Linked DNA regions of Arabidopsis thaliana. The protein of the gene in region 2 interacts with the protein of the main gene of each other region in a pairwise test. Each region holds a gene or a part of one and is shown on either strand. Other genes may lie near its edges.

The links.
Region 1: the proteins of BCA4 (region 2) and CXIP1 interact in a two-hybrid assay, tested with the Arabidopsis thaliana proteins (one large-scale study listed by BioGRID).
Region 3: the proteins of BCA4 (region 2) and HCF136 interact in a two-hybrid assay, tested with the Arabidopsis thaliana proteins (one large-scale study listed by BioGRID).

What each region holds. Positions count from the first base shown.
Region 1 is NC_003074.8:20,340,694-20,344,216, forward strand, and holds CXIP1 (CAX interacting protein 1), read right to left. Parts: upstream 1,772-3,523; 5' UTR 1,679-1,771; coding exon 1,157-1,678; 3' UTR 664-1,156; downstream 1-663. Other genes in the region: LHCA1 (chlorophyll a-b binding protein 6), read right to left, coding at 39-229; AT3G54910 (RNI-like superfamily protein), read right to left, coding at 2,274-2,540, 2,668-2,808, 2,871-3,523. UniProt on the Arabidopsis thaliana protein: May only reduce GSH-thiol disulfides, but not protein disulfides. Probably involved in the regulation of the redox state of the BOLA proteins. May act as Fe-S cluster donors to Fe-S cluster-requiring proteins.
Region 2 is NC_003070.9:26,533,192-26,540,435, forward strand, and holds BCA4 (beta carbonic anhydrase 4), read right to left. Parts: upstream 5,247-7,244; 5' UTR 4,926-5,246; intron 4,302-4,925; 5' UTR 4,267-4,301; coding exon 4,213-4,266; exon of another isoform or gene 3,327-4,212; coding exon 3,262-3,326; intron 2,992-3,261; coding exon 2,851-2,991; intron 2,505-2,850; coding exon 2,456-2,504; intron 2,211-2,455; coding exon 2,094-2,210; intron 2,014-2,093; coding exon 1,960-2,013; intron 1,564-1,959; coding exon 1,475-1,563; intron 1,327-1,474; coding exon 1,221-1,326; intron 1,144-1,220; coding exon 976-1,143; 3' UTR 633-975; downstream 1-632. Other genes in the region: AT1G70420 (DNA ligase-like protein, putative (DUF1645)), read right to left, coding at 6,649-7,244. UniProt on the Arabidopsis thaliana protein: Reversible hydration of carbon dioxide. Together with BCA1, involved in the CO(2) signaling pathway which controls gas-exchange between plants and the atmosphere by modulating stomatal development and movements. Promotes water use efficiency.
Region 3 is NC_003076.8:7,776,086-7,781,545, reverse strand, and holds HCF136 (photosystem II stability/assembly factor, chloroplast (HCF136)), read right to left. Parts: upstream 3,530-5,460; 5' UTR 3,462-3,529; coding exon 3,062-3,461; intron 2,973-3,061; coding exon 2,737-2,972; intron 2,645-2,736; coding exon 2,514-2,644; intron 2,402-2,513; coding exon 2,269-2,401; intron 2,001-2,268; coding exon 1,878-2,000; intron 1,583-1,877; coding exon 1,508-1,582; intron 1,423-1,507; coding exon 1,307-1,422; intron 1,150-1,306; coding exon 1,083-1,149; 3' UTR 639-1,082; downstream 1-638. Other genes in the region: AT5G23130 (Peptidoglycan-binding LysM domain-containing protein), read right to left, coding at 1-71. UniProt on the Arabidopsis thaliana protein: Essential for photosystem II (PSII) biogenesis; required for assembly of an early intermediate in PSII assembly that includes D2 (psbD) and cytochrome b559. Has been suggested to be required for chlorophyll a binding.

The DNA.
Region 1 (3,523 bases), on a different chromosome or scaffold from region 2:
CTGAGCAACAAAACAGAGTAAAAGGGTTCGAAGCGTACCCAGGAGCAGAACCGTCAAGGTAAGCTGGTCGTGGCTCGCCAGGCATCCAGTGAGCAGCCATTCTGATACGACCAACATTCCCGGCGTTTGGGAGTGGAACTCCGGCGGATACGAATTTAGACTTGGAAGAAGAGAGAAGCGAAGGGTACACGGCGGCTATGCCACAGCTCATAAGCGAGTTCGACGCCATCGTTTCTCTCTATCTGTCGTTGTGTTTGCCACCAAAGGAGAAAGATGTGGACGAGAGGTGTTTGGTGGAAGTGTGAATGTGGGAGACTGATCGTATAAGTAAGATTTGTGAGATGAGAATCTAAAACCAGATTGCAATTGGCTATACAGAGCCTGCGTGGCTTTTTCATTGGGCCACGTGTCTTCTCGATATCATGTTCTTCTGTTCGATATCCATCTGCACTATGTGGTTCAGATAAAAGCAGAATCTACGTATATTACTATTTTGCCATTTATCCACTGCAACGAGATGCTATCAGATAAGTCTTCCTGTTCGGTGAAACACATTTCTACTAATGTTTTAAAACTTGACCCGGACCGGTAAATCTGCGATTGGTCATGAATCCGGTCTGGATTTATTGCTAAGACTGGAGACTTATCAAACCGGTAAAACTTGGATCAACGAACACATGCGAGGCTAAATCATATGTCTTGAAAGGAGTATCTAACAAACGATACATTTTGAGACAACGTGTTTAGACATTGAAGTGAGACAGAATACCATTTGCAGACACACTGTACCGGTGAATGTTCAGAATCTTTGGAACTAAGTTTCTTTAAATTGTATCTCAATCAGGATATGAATGAGCATAACAACCCATGACTTCATGTCTCTTAGTCAGAAACAAACTTAGATTCTACTAGCACTACTTCACACATAAACCTTTCAACAAACAACACAAATTTGCAGGCCAACACATATGACAAAGGAAACTCAAATTCCAAGCAACTCCAACTGTTGTATACCTAAATCCATCATACAATATATGTCTCTTAATGTTACAACCACAAACTCTGAAACATCAAAATCACATTTTTTTTCCCAGGTGATAGATAGATAGATAAGATCAAATTCCATCATCACAAAAACCAAGTATTGAAATCAGGATCAAGAGCACATAGCTTTCTCCACCTCTTCCTGCAATTCTCCAGTCTTAAACGCCTCAAGAGTAATATCACAACCACCGAAAAACTCACCGCCGATATAAAGCTGAGGAAACGTCGGCCAATTCGAATACTCTTTAAGTCCTTGCCTCAACATCTCATTCTCCAGAATATTCACATCTTCGAAAGGAACATTCAGATTCTTCAAAATCTGAACCACAGTGTTGGAGAATCCACACATCGGGAAGTCTCTCGTTCCTTTCATAAACAGAACCACTTTCTCCGAATTCACCAGTTTCTCCAGCGTGTCTTTAAGTTGCGGCGTAAGAGCCGACGCTGAGCATCGGAATTTAGTTGGTTTCAGCTTGAGATTCGAACCGTAGAACGATAGCTGATGGTTATGGACGACGAGTGCCGACGTTGGTTTAAGAGAGAATCTGATAGAGTGAGGCTTGTTGGTAACGGAGGAGGAGACGACGGCGACCGAAGTTATCAAGGTCGGCGTTTTGACAGATCGGAGAGCCATTTTTGACGACTTTTAGATTTGGAATTGAGAAATTGAAAAGGTAAATGATTTATGAGCCACAGACACTCAGTGCGAGTGAGAATTGAATAAACCATGTTGCCAAACATCACCACTAAGCCGGTAGTGCATGTCATAATCATGGGTTTAAAAATAAAAATTAGAGGACATTCCGGTTCGGTTTGGTTCGACTCTTTAGATTCCGGTATTTTAGATATTAAGAAATTGGTTGGTTCCACTTGGATCGTATTAGTATTTCGGTTTAATAATTTTAGAGAAATTATCAGGGCATCAAATGCTTTTCAGTTTTTCAACACAGAGCTAGTTCTCTTTTCTTCATTCACAAGGTATGTATATATCTCTACACACCTATAAAACCCCATAAACGATTAAAACTTATCATATAACTTCTCCAATCAACATAATTTGTTTTTTGGTGGACAACATATAGAATAAAGTTTTTATCACATACAAAAAAAACGGAAAACATAGAAAAAGATGGTTGACGAAAACAAATTTTCAGGTTGAAGACAAACCATACGAGCCCGGGGACATGGAAGAACTGAAGAACAAGCTTTGTTTTGGTGATCAAATACTCTCAATCAAACACGAGTTGGCATGTTGTTGAAGCTCTAGAAGAAAGTGCCAACTCCTTTAACATGTCAAATCTTTCATCATCAAAAACACATGACTTGATTGTTGTGGTCTTCAAGTGAACAGCGTTCTTCAAGAAATACACTGCAAGATCTCTCTCTTCTGGTGTTCCTCTATATGCCGACAAGTTGAGAGTTTGGAGACTCAACAACATACATTCAGGGACAGTACTTGGTTGATGCCAGTAAAGGATATCATGATTCTCATGATACTGAGATCAAACAGAAGAAGAATTACAGATCAAACAGAAGAAGAATTACAGATCAAACAGAAGAAGAATTACACTAAAACCATAATGTGCATCAGACAAGAAAAAAGAGTTTGACGAACAAACTTACATCCATTTCGGAAAGGTCTAGTGCTTGTAAGTTAGAAGAATCTTTGAGCAGTCGGACAAGTAAATCCGACGAATGCCCTTTGCATCTACATAGCTTCAGATGTTTAAGCTGGTTGAAGACAAAACCTCCATCATACATAGCCTGCGCAATATTAAAAATTATCAGCAAATGCATATCTAAACAATGAGTTGAGAAAATGATACCTGTGAACATATTGAAAGACGCTTGACAGATGTGATTGATCCAATAAGACTCTTGATGCTATGTAATTCAACATCTATATCTGCCTCTATCAGGTTAGGCATATTCTTAACCAAACAGTAGTGACTCTTACTGTTATGGTCTATAAGTTTAAAATACTTTAAAGAAGGAGTTTCTATCACAATCCCATCGATCTCATAAGAATGAGGTATAAAGAGTGATAAAATCTGCAAAGATGGGACAACAACAGTTAGCTTTTCCATGCTGTCTGACAAAAGTAAATCCACCAATAGATCTTCAAGAACAGGGCAGTTAGATAGAAGCCGATGAAGAGAGTCTTCATTGAGGTATCTCACGCTGTGAAGTTGCAAAGTTTTCAGAGAGGGAAGAAATGCCATTCGAGGAACATCCAAGCGAATCTCGCCACAGAGTTCCAAGATCACAAGCGATTTGCAGGTATACAAGTTACTCGGCAATATGTTTGGCTTCTCCGGATATGAAGAATAAATAACCTCCAGCTCACGCAGGCAGTGAGAAACTGCTATAACAACCCACATCTTGATATTCTCAGGTGTGCATTTTGAATCAATTAAGTAAAGACGGAAGCTTTCTATAACCGGAGCTCTATGTAATGGCAGATTTTTGTCAAGAAAAC
Region 2 (7,244 bases):
CACAGACCAAAGCAGAGAGGATTTAAACAAATACAACGAAAAAAGGAAGAAGCAATATCTAATTATCTCCGAAACCCTATAATTGAAATTGACGATGAAACTTAAGAGTCAAGACAATGGCATATCAAAACAACTGGTGAAGAAACTACGATTAATGAATGAAATAGACAACTTCAGAGAGGTGTTTGGTTAATGAAACGCTTACCGTAGCTTCTTCAATTTGGAACGCAAAAGTTTAGTGATTCTCTTGCAGTTAGATTAAATGGAAATAGAAATCATCATCGTTCGGCAAATCCCTAATATATAGAGAAGTCAATAAGTCGGCAATCACAATTGGGCCAATTTAGGTGGGCCTTTTCGTATTTAACTTGGTAAATGGGCCTCTGCAAATTCCCGTTTAGGAATCATATCATCTTACTATTACTTTTCTAGAAATATTCTATTTACAATAGTTACTCTTTTGAGTTCCTTTACTTATTTTGATAAATACATTTATATAAAGAAAATTCTAAATCAACTACTTTTAAATAGCAAAAAGTTAATAATTTTTTTTGCAACAACAAAAAAAAGAAGCTAATCTAAAACGAATAGTCACTACAATTTCGTTCTAGGTAATAGATGGGACAATGATACCGTATAGAAGTTTTTATGTAATAAAATTGTAATGATCAATGGCTTCAATGCCAAGAAGTTTTAACAATTAACATACACATATAATCTGGAAAAAGAGAGAAAGAAGGAAAGTTCAAATCTTCGTTCAAACATCAATTAGACAAATATAGAAGTTTCAAACGTTGGTTACAGCTTTATTGTTTGAGCTTTTGAAATAGAAGCAGCAAAGTTGAAGTTTTGAATTAACAAAAAGAAATCAAAGAAGTTGGAGAGGAATCATCAACATGAGAGAATGAAGAAAGATGAGTCAAAGTGTCTTTTTTTATCTCAAAAGAGTTTTATATGTTCCGGTAGCTTTCTTTCTTAAGAGAAGGCAAAAGCAGGAGTGGTCTTGAAATCGAGCTCCCAGAGATCAAACGTTCCTTTGACGAAATTGTAGTGACCTCCTCTTATTGCAAGTGTGTTCTTCACCACCTCAGCTCTCACGAATGGGTACGAAAGCAAGTTTCCAAGCGATACGTTCACAGCTTCCTGCACAAGATAACACATTTATTGATAAGCCATTTCTCAAGAACATAAGTAAACAGAGCAAAGATAGTTATTATTACCTTCTCACACTTGTTGCATTGATCATCGTAGCTCAAGTCTTTATGTTCCTCCTTGATCTTGTTCCTCGCTGATGCGCCTATCTTCACCCAATTTTCAATGAAGTCACTGCCATTGTTTAGAGGATTTCCATCGTGTTAGAGATCGATTAATCTTATCATCTCAAAGACTCAAACTTATCCCACAAGAAAGTCATATATCGAACAATCTTGATTCACAACTCAGGCTAAATCAAGATTAATGAGTTAGTAATTACCTTTGAGTTGGGGCAGCATCATCTTCAATGGACATGAGTCCCTTAATACCACCACAGCAGCTATGGCCTATCACCAAAATGTTCTCCACCTACAAATAAATTGATACTATTAAAAAAAGTGAACTGTTGACTCTGAATAAAAAAGTAGTTGCAAGTTGATGCATTAAGACCCATTTCTAATATCGAACATTATCCAAAAATGATTCAAAAAAGATAATCCTAGTGGCTAAAAGGAAAAGGAGAACAGGGTTTAGGTGGATGAAATGGGTCCAAATAACAGAGTGACTAGACATCAACTTTTAGTAAGAACCATGTGCAAGCAAAAATGCATAACAACGACTTAAAATAATGAGCACTATGAAAAGAGCCAAACTTTGGATGATTACTGATAAGTGATAACTTATAAGAATACTAACAAAGTTTGCTTATTTATTAATTCAATCTAAGTGTCTATCCTTAAAAATAGGTATATTTTGTTCATGTACCTTGAGATGTACAACTGCGTATTCAACGGCGGCGCCAACTCCAGAGTGTCTCTTCTGATAAATTATCAAAACCACTTTGGTGTTAGTTATTTGATCTCAGACAAGAACAAGAGTGAAATGGCTTGGTAATGAACCTGGTCAAAAGGTGGAACCATATTGGCTATGTTTCTGACAACAAAAGCCTCACCAGGTTGGAAATTCAAGATGTGAGATGGACAAACTCGAGAATCAGAGCAAGCAAACACCAGAAACTGCCATAATCAAAAAAAAAAAATCAACATCATTTTCAAATTCATTAACTCTATAATAAGAAAGTGGACCATCTTTGGTTCCAATAATTGTTTTTGCTAATTCATAAAGTCAAACATCATCGTTGGATTATTAAAAAGCTTGTCACACTCTTTTGTTCGTATTAACCTATTTTTTAGGTATTAGTCAAAGAAGAAAATAAGTAAATGAACAGAGAAAAAGAGAGAGATTTGAGAAAAGCTAAAACCTTTGGGGTCTGAGTCTTGGCAAGATGATTGAACAAAGTACTATTCTTCCTGAAAAAAATTATGAACAGAGAGATTTCATCAAAATCCATGAATCAACCTTAAAAAAAATTCAGAATTTCTTTTTAAAAAACCACCTTTTTATGTTTCTGTTATTGCATATACTAATTGGAATATACCTTCTTAATACAATTTAATTAGCTTTTAATCACCTTTTTTTAGCACTATCACATGAATAAAAACAGTAATGCTAAGTGAATAAGAAAAAATAAAGGTAGGTTTATCATTAATGGACCACTCCACCGTCATGAAAATTCTTCTTTACAGAACAAAAACGAATTTAATTATATTCTTTTCCTTAAATAACGTTAAAAAGTTTAGTAATTTAAATACTTACAAATATTTCTCGGTTTTGAATTGAGTAAAACCGGTCTTGATTCGTTCAATTGCGTCTGAATTGCTTGAGTCAAGCTCCTTTAGCTCCGCCGTCAACGCTTTGATCTTCGCGGCGGCGACGTTTCCGAGATCCGCTTTCGTACTGTAAAAAAAACGCGGAAATGTGAAACTTTTTTCCCAAGGTAAGTTGATCCAACGGTCAGGATCTGTCGTACGTGTACGGATTCCAAAATGTTTGGTCATGAAGAAAACACAAACGCGCAAATCAAAAGAAAACAAAAAACTCTGATTTTTTTTTCCGATTCAACGCTTTGATTTTGGCGTTGATTATGGAGAAATTGTGGGAGGAAAAAAAAGAGGAATATGCCGACACTTTCTAATGATGGTACTATGAGTCAGAGAGAGTGTGTACCTGAGAAGATCATTGAGTCCTTTAATGGCGGCTTCGTACGATTCCGTTGCCATTTCGTCTTTTTCCTAATGAATACAAACAACAACAAGTAATTTTAATCGGTGAAATTTGACGATGTTGAAACATGAAAATTGGATCTGATGAGAGAAACCTTAAAGGATCACAAAAGCAGAGGAGGTTTTTTTTTTCTTTCTCTGGAGAGTAAAATCCTTATCGAAGAATGTGAAATCAGTTAATGCAGTAGTAGTAGAGATGGATATTGGTATTTATAGGCCTAGAGCTCTATTATGCCATTTGGTTCTACTCTTACATTTTCTTTTTTACAAGGGAAAAAAAAAAGAAACTCCACAAAAATGGGAAGGTTTATATTATATTAAAAAATCTTTTTGTGGGATGGTGATTTGATAAAACTATTTTAAAATTTTGGGGTGAAATGGTTTTGATTGAGGAGGAATAATTAAGCATGTGGCTGTATGTCTCGGTACTGATTAAAATGAAATTATAAACCCATTTGAATTTCCAAGTACATTTTTTTTATAAATGCAAATTTCATTCGAATGTCTACATTGACTAGAATAGTTTTTTTCTACCTCATTTGACCAAATAAATGATCTCGACTTGAAAAGTAAACGCAGGGCAAAAAGCATATGGTAGTAAGTAGTAATTTTTATTTTGGTGAAGGCAAATTGGTCTGCGTCTTTTCCGATAGGCCGGTGGCCAATGACAAAGCAGGATAAGTCAACCAAGGCAAGCCTTACAGGCTGACACGGTCATGTTTTTAACGGACTTGCCAGTTGGCATCTACGCGTCACCAGTTTACTTAATTATTACTTTCTCTATATACATTTCGTCACTTTATATACATACTATAATCTAATAATCCTCTCGAAGTTTCAAAAATAGCTTGAGTATTTTTCTCATAAGCAAATTTGAGTTGTTGCTGGGACTTACCGGGGAGGTTTTAGCGCAGCAGAACATGAAACATTTTCCGAATGCAGGAGCCATTATAAATGATCTCTTCCTTTGCTTCTCCTACCAACCTGTCCAGTCCAAACCCGTAATCTTATTATTACAAATACATCTAAAAATAAAGTATAGGAGTTTTCTCATTGTTACTTACAATCGACTACATTATTAACTACTCACGTCGGCATTCAATTTATTAAATTCATAACTGAATTATAATTTTATTATATTCTGAAGACTAATAATGCGATGGCTGAATCACAACAAATTAAAATAGATGGATGATCTAAATCCGGAATGGTTCTCTGACTCTTTAGTTCCATATATAAAATATTCCTTTATACATATTTTCAAACTTTTTTGGGGCTTAAAAATGCTCAAGTAACGCAAGCTGGCTTTTCATTGGACCGTAAGGTTCATTTCCATCAACCATTATTGTATATGACTATACTCATTGCCATGAATAATTCAAGTTTTATTCTATCATATTAAGTTCTAACGTATTTTGGGAAAAAAATGCTCATTAATTGTCAACAAACAAACCATACACTTCTTAGTTTTTCAAACATGAACTTGAAATGAAGTTTTTGTGTTCTCCTTTTAGTGTGGAAAAATGGATTCAGTTTTTTAGTATAAAAAAGGGTTTTGGTAATCGACAATAATTAAATTAAAAAGAAGATAAATTACGAATGAAATACCTAAATGTTAGGGGAAGAAGAAGCTCTTGGTAAGGCTCTTCCTAGCTCTTCGACAACCCTATGGACGTGGTAACAGTTTGAAGATGATGAGGCAGAGGATTTTGGGAATTGAAATAAGTAAACAAATAAATAAATAAAAATCTTAATTTATATGGGAAGAAGATTGGATATGGGTTTTTGGATTTTCGAGGTTTCAAGGAATTATGACGACCGTTCGAGCAATGTGGGGGTTTCTGTTATGGGATAGAGAAAGCGAAAGGTGAGTGAAGCTGGACTTCTTCTTCTTCTTCTTCTTCCATGTTTTTTCTTTTTATTTGTTTCTGCTGTTTATTTAGTAAAAATCATAATAAGACCTGTAAATATTTATTGACATTATGAGAAAACACTAAAACTATGCTAGAAGATAATCTCATGAGATTTTATTCTTTTTATATGCTTTCATATTTATTATAACTTGTTCTACTATTTAAAGTAAATTCACTAATATAACAAAAGTTAAAATCAAATTTCTATAACAGACCATTTATTACTTTTAATAATTATTTGTCAACAGTTCTACTAATTATATAAATTTTGTATATCTTTTGGATCTAAACTAATGTATGAACGAAGTAGTGATGAAATTATTATCCAAGACCTGAAATCTGTTTCGCTTCGAAAATTAGACTATATAAATTCAGATCAGGATAGCATAAATTTATGGTAATGTTGTAATTTCATGACTAGCCGTTAATAGGGCTTGCAAGTTGCACCTCTCATTCATGTAATGGACTATTAGATTTAAAACAACCCAAACCAAAGATAACTTTAGCGACACTACAAATTTTCATGTAATGGGCTATTAGATTTAAAACAACCAAAATTGCTAATTTTCACAACCAGTACTTTTTCTTGGGCTTGATGTTTCAATTCATGCCCCATTCATCAGCATAAACTCTCACTTGACTTCAAATACCTTTCGATGATGAATGGGGCATGACTATTTCTGAATGGTGTTAGTCACCTGGACCCGAATTATAGGCCTATCATTCTTACTTTGGCCCAAATATTTATCTGGCCCTCTTACATATAATATAAGCACTTTTAAAGCTATAGCTGTATGTACTCTTGTATTAGGAGGCATATTGAGTTTGGTGTGATGTATAATGTGTAATGTGTTGTCACTTGTCACTACCAATACAGGTTTGTACTTTTACTATGTTTAAATAATTTGATACCTAACTTAATAGTGTCGGTAAACAGAAGTTGTAAAAACTAAGCTATCAAAAATAAATGCCTCAGGAAATCATTTATAGCCATCTCTAAAAATGTGTGTTTACATATCTGCGGCCATCGTTAATCAATTAGATAGAGATAATATATTGCCTAAAAGAACAAGTTTTACTTTATTCCAGTAAAAAATTAATTCCTACTTTCAAAATAAAAAAAATAAAAAAATTAACGTGCGGACAAATTTTGATATACCAAAATATATTATTGACAAACTTAAATTCCAAAAAAGATCGATGAATCTTTTCTCTACTACTTTCAAAATCAAAAAATACTTTACATCAAAGAAGAAAAAAAACTAATCAAATGATACAAACGAAAAGTTAATAAGTAAAGTTTCACTTTTACTTACAAAAAGAAGGTTTTATAATACACAGAAACCAAAAAAAAGGTTAGATATATACAAAAGGCAAAGATTTGTCGGTAGAGATTTTGGTACGACAGATCGGTTTAATCAATAGGGATGAACATTTCTGGTTAAACCATTAACATTAGTGAAGAACCCAACATGTTTATACGGAAGATACGATCTTCGTTTCCCTTCTTCTCTCATTGCTCTGTTTCTCATATACAATTTCTCATGTGCCGATTTCGTTCTCATCTTATCCTTCTTCTTATCCGTCTTCGTTTTCTCTTTCCCTTTCTCCGACGACTTCACCACACCACTCAATCTCGCCGCCGTAGACGACGTCGACGATGTAGATGAAGAGCCGTTGCTTAAAAACACAAACGCATCTTTTCCATCACTGTTACTTCTCAAAACAAGATCTCTAAATCTCCATAGCTTTGAGAACCCTGTTGAGTTACTTTTCCGACAAGTCTCTGGTGATGCTTGCTCCACCGTACGATTTGTCCATGAACAATATGGACCCACCGTATCTGACTCTTCTTCTTCTTCTTCTGTGGTTGTGGATTCAACGAAGAGTTTCTTGAGAGGTGAACGTAAAGTTTTTTCCTCTGGATCATCGAAGAAAATATTCCGGTTAAACAGAGGATAAACCGGTCGGATCTGACCGTCTTCGAATGCTTCATCTGCGGTTATCGGTGAAT
Region 3 (5,460 bases), on a different chromosome or scaffold from region 2:
CGGAATTTTCTATTGCTAAATTCGAAACTCCCATTGAAACCAGAAATTCGCCTTCCTCGTTCCGTCAACATTGTTGGAACTAACCTATTTCTGAAACTAGATCTGATCAAAAATTCTCGGATTCCGGTAAAATAGAAGAGGAAAAGGGGAAAAAGCGAAAACGAGAAACGAGGGAGAGACGTTGAGAGATTGAACAAGAGAGGTGAAAACTCGTGGAGTGAAATGGAAGGAAATTTTCTCGTAGATTCAATGTGAACTTTTTCTCGCCGGATTTACCGGGAAAAAAACGAACGAGAGATCTCTTCTCCGGTTCTCCCTCTCGTCGCCACCGGAAAACGACACACTATTATATATTTTTCTTTTTTCGAAGAATAGAATTAATTATTATTAATGTTCAAAACAAAAACCGCGTTACAGCTTATCCATAACGAAAGCAAAAAAGAAAAATGATCAGATGACAAAAAAGAAAAGAAAAAAAAGTTATTCAAAAATAAAATAAAAATAATATTAGCAAACTAAACCAGTTTAAGTTTCATTAGGTTCAATTAGGTTCAACTGCGGATAAAGTGCAGTGCAGTTCAAATAATAACAAAAACATATATATGCAAAAACATTCGTTACTATTTGAACCGCACCGCATTGTTCGGTTCAGTCACCGTTCCACGGACAACAACCCACCGCATACCAAATTTATTTATATGTAGTAATTGACAATTTTTAAATAGTAAATAAAAAGCGGTCTAATCCACAAACGGATTTATCAATATATGTTTCTCTTATGAATTGACAATAAAGTGAGTAATAAAATCTCTGGCGAAGATTTCTTGTCATCTTTCTTGGTTGCCTACACAATGAAATTTCTTGGCTGAAAATAGGTTATAAACATACATAGATGAGATCAAATCCAACTCCAACTAACAGTGAGAAACAAAGCTTTTCAGAAGAAACACAAAATTATATATATTTTGTGAAGGGAATGTATACAATAGTGTAATGTAGTATTAAAACGCAGTTAAAGGCTTTACAGAGAAGGATTGAAACATAACCATTTCAATTTAACCTCTTTTTTATTTTTAAATTCTTCAGCCAACATATCGGAGCAAGACTCCATCGTTGCCAAGCACAAATCCTTTCTTGTCATCCACAAATCTGCAACAAAAAACAGACAGGAATTGAGAACTGATTAGTTTGTTCGTTTATGCTAAAGTATTTGAGATTTGAGATGAGATGAGATGGGTGGGAACAATGATGGTTCCCAATGATGGTATTGAAGGAGTGTGTTTTGATGTTTGAGTTAGAGACTTACTTGACTGCGTATAGGTTAGCTGCGATATTATCAGCAGCTTTGTCACGGTTCCATGATTTGCCTCCATTTCTTGTTCTCAGTAGTATGCCACTGCCTCCTGCTGCCCATGCTTCTTCCTGCAATACCCAAAAAAAAAAAAAAATGGTGTAAAGATCGGAGCAGATTCAGAGTTTTGAGTGATCATCGTGGAAACTCATTTACCTCTGAGCGATATCCAACATCTAGAATGCCAAAGCCACGGCTTTGTACTGGAACTTCTTCAAACTCCTCTGTAATCTGAGCAATTATAACAGAGGAGATCAAAATCAGATGCAGTTGGAAGTTGAAACATTGGAAGAGAATTTAAATCACAAGGAAACAGTTTTTTTATTTTATTTTCCTTGTTATTAGTCCAGGGAATAGCAGATAACAAAAGAAAATTGTGTTTCTTAGTTCATGGCTAGATTTGGTTTCATCCTCTAAGTGGCAAAAGAACCCAGAAACTCGCAAGTAAATACCAAAACGAGAAGAAAAGGAAATTTTCAGAGAATAAAACTGCAAGAAGTGAGGAGAGTCTTGCTGCTGTACTTACCCCAGTACCTTTGCTAAGATAAAGTCCTCCACCACGAACAAGAAGCCAAAGACCACCATCAGCTCTCCATCCCATGTTCTGAATTCTTCTAGCAACAGCTCTATTGTGTGGTTGCCAGTAAGGCTGCAATATACCAATACTATGGTGAATGACAGTCTAAAGAGCACGCAAACCACACACAAGAACAAAGAGAGGGATTGGTAGTCCCTTGTAAGACACATAATACCGTTTACTTAGACAAAGTACTTTTTAATCAAAATCAAAATCAGCAATAAGACTGAGCCTAAGCAAGTGCTAAAACTTCACCTAGCTATGTCATAAAAAGGACTAAGAGTTCAAAAGCAAACCACAAGTATAAATGTATTTCTTCATAGCCTTAATTGAGTCTCACCTGCCCAGGCTCCCATGTCAGAAAGAAGTTACCACGGCTCGAAACAGCGACATATCTTCCATCAGGTGAACGATTAACAGCACTGAAAGTTCCCGTGTAGTAACTAGCACCACTGATTCCACTGGATACTGTTCTGCAAGACCATAGGAAATACTGAATTAAGGTCTACTCTTTGATCTCTATTGAATCTGGATGGAAAAGACAATGCCAATTCCCTAGTATAAACCAAAGAGAGGGTAACGAACCTGTTCAAGGTAGCTGAAACAGTTTCCTGAATAGCAGCTTTCCAGTTATATCCCCTGTTTGAAGTAACATAAATAGCACCTTCATCAGTAACCATCTCTGCACTCTTATCTTCTGTCGCTTTTATAAACACCTACAACAACATTTGTAACAAACACATTCTCATAAACAAAAACAACAACAATAGAAATCTCTGAAAACACCAGAAGAAACAAGATATAATACCATATCTCCAGGAAGCTGAGAACTTAGAGGAATCCTATCCCAATTCTCTCCAGCATCAGCAGTGTACAATAAAATCGCAGGTTTGCCAATAATCCATCCTTCTTTGCCTTTAAAGCTAATCGAATTGAATCTATAATTGAAATCTTCTTCTTCAGCTGAAGGAATCGAACGTGGATTCCAAGTGCTTCCACCATCTTTAGTCTCTAACAAAGTCTGTCTCGTTCCAAGTAAAAACCCTAATTGACATTTCAAGCAAGAATCAGTAAGTAAAACAATTTCGAACTTAAGAACGGAAAATTAAAGAAGAAGAAGAAGGAGTAATTACCTCGGCTAGGTTCGTCGGGGACGAAAGCAATGTCGAGAAGAACAACACCGGGATCGATTGGGAGAAACACTCTTTCCCATTCGGATAACTGTTCATCAGCTCTCGCTGGTCCAACAATGGAAGAAAGCGAGAGTGATACAGCTGCCGATTGGTACAGAAGCTCCCGCCGACTGAAAGATAAGGATGAAGAGGACGATGATGGTGATGGAGATGGAGGAGGAGAAGATGAGGCTTTAGGGATTAGGCGATGAGAAATGCGTTGAGAGAGGAATCGAGGAGAAACAGAGGGCTTGAAGAGAAGATAACCGTCGCAGAGTTGCAGAGACGCCATTGATGTGTGTAAATGTTCTTCGATCTCTCTCACTCTCTTCTCTTTCTCTCTCCCGCCTCGAGAATACATATCCTTTTGCTGTGGTTATCTAACGTCTACGTAGTGTACACGTGTCGTTTTATTATTGGTGTAATTGTTTCTAACAATCATATTTTAATTTACCTTTACTTCCAAGTTTTGAGTATATAAACTCAAATGTAATTATTTTCACGTTGATAGGGTTTTCTCTCTCTTCTCTCTCCTCATCTTTCAGAGAGTTTCAGCTTTTTTGGCCAGCAATGACTGGCTTTATCAGCAGTGTTTGGTCGGCTTCTACTCCGGCATCGCTGGCTTCCTTAGAAGCGTTGGCTGGCTCAGCTTCCGGCATCGACCGGCTACTTTTAGCGGTGGTGGCTGGCTTATCTCCCGAGAGCAAGATACCCTCTTTCTTGTTTCGTCGGGCTTTTCTCCGGCGTCTTTAGCCGGTTTTTTCTCCGGTTTTTTGACCGGATTTAGATTTGATTTGTTTTTTTTTTATCTTCTGCTTGTAGTTCAAAGATTGATGAACCCTAAGAGTTAAAAAGATGTTGATTGAAGAAGAAGAGGAAGAAAAAGAAAAAGAAGAAGAAGAAGATTTGCACTTCGTGGAGTCAAATTCTCGTCCAAGCTACAACTGAAATTTCGCCATTAATCTTTTGAGCGACGAGTGAGCTATGCCAATTAAACAAGTTTTCCGGTGTTTCGGCCGGAATTGAAGCTTCTGACGGCGACTCCCTTCTCTTCCAGTTCCTATGTGTCCTTCAAAATGTTTCCCACTGACACGTGTTTTCTATGCGGCGCACAACAATCATTTGTTCTCTTCCTTCAGTTTAGGGTTTATTCATTTGGGCTTTTGGGCTGTTTTTTTTTTTTTTCTTTGGGCTTGTTTATTTTAGTCTTTGTGAATTATTGGCCTGTTACTTTTGGCTCTATAATATCAATAAAACACACTTGTGACAAAAAAAAAAAAACTCAAATGTAATCATCTAAATTTACTAAAATATTTTCCTCCTTGATTTTCTTCCTTTCTCCCTGGTCATTCTCAAATTTTTAACTACTCAATCCTTTTGAGTCATACTTTCATCTTCATCATTTTCACTGTGATGAATCCATGTGACATTTTTTCCATTATCATACATAATCCAAAAGTCTCTCCTTTGCTAACATCTTTTTCTTTTAGCATTATATGCATCACTAAGAAAAGATAAGAAATAAAAGATTGAACGCTAAAGGTTCAGACATTCATCTTTGTCCGTAATTCATCTTGAATCGAGAAAGTAATAAGATGATTAAAATTAATCATTACAAAATTTGCACAATTCATAGTCTAGTAAATCTAAGTATGTCTACAAAGCTCTTATGAGTAGGAAGAACAAATCATACGAAGCAAGACTTGATATGACTCCAATGAACAGATTAAAAATCCAGAAAAATAGTTTGAAATAATTTACTTATTTATGATATGAAAAGGTTGCCAACTTAGTTTTAAATTATGAAAAGGAAATTCACAAAGGAATACAGTAAAACTTCTATAAATTAATAATGTCGGGAACGTGAAATTTTATTAATTTATAGAGATATTAATTTGTTGAATTATTAATTTATAGAGAGATTTGGTTAATTTGTAATTTTTTTTAACTTTCCTATATGAAAAGAAGTTTTATTTGTCATAACCAACATCTTTTTAGATACAAATACAAGTAAAAGAACATATTCTCTTTTTTTAAAAAAAGCACAACTTTTTTTTATACAGTAAACATATTAAAAATGAATATTTGATCAAAACTTAATATTATTTAAGAAAAACAAACAATACTAGAATCATATTTCACTAACTTTTCTTACATATACATAATATATTCTGATAAATTTATAAATTTATTAATTTATGATATTGATGAGACCATATGCTTACATATGATTGGCAAGTCTCTCTATCACAACGGTGATCAGCTTCTCCGGAAAAAAAAATTATTCCTACAAGCATTGATGTAGACAAACCAAAAATAGCTATGGATGGTGTCTGGAGCTTCAAATCCACCAAGCTTTA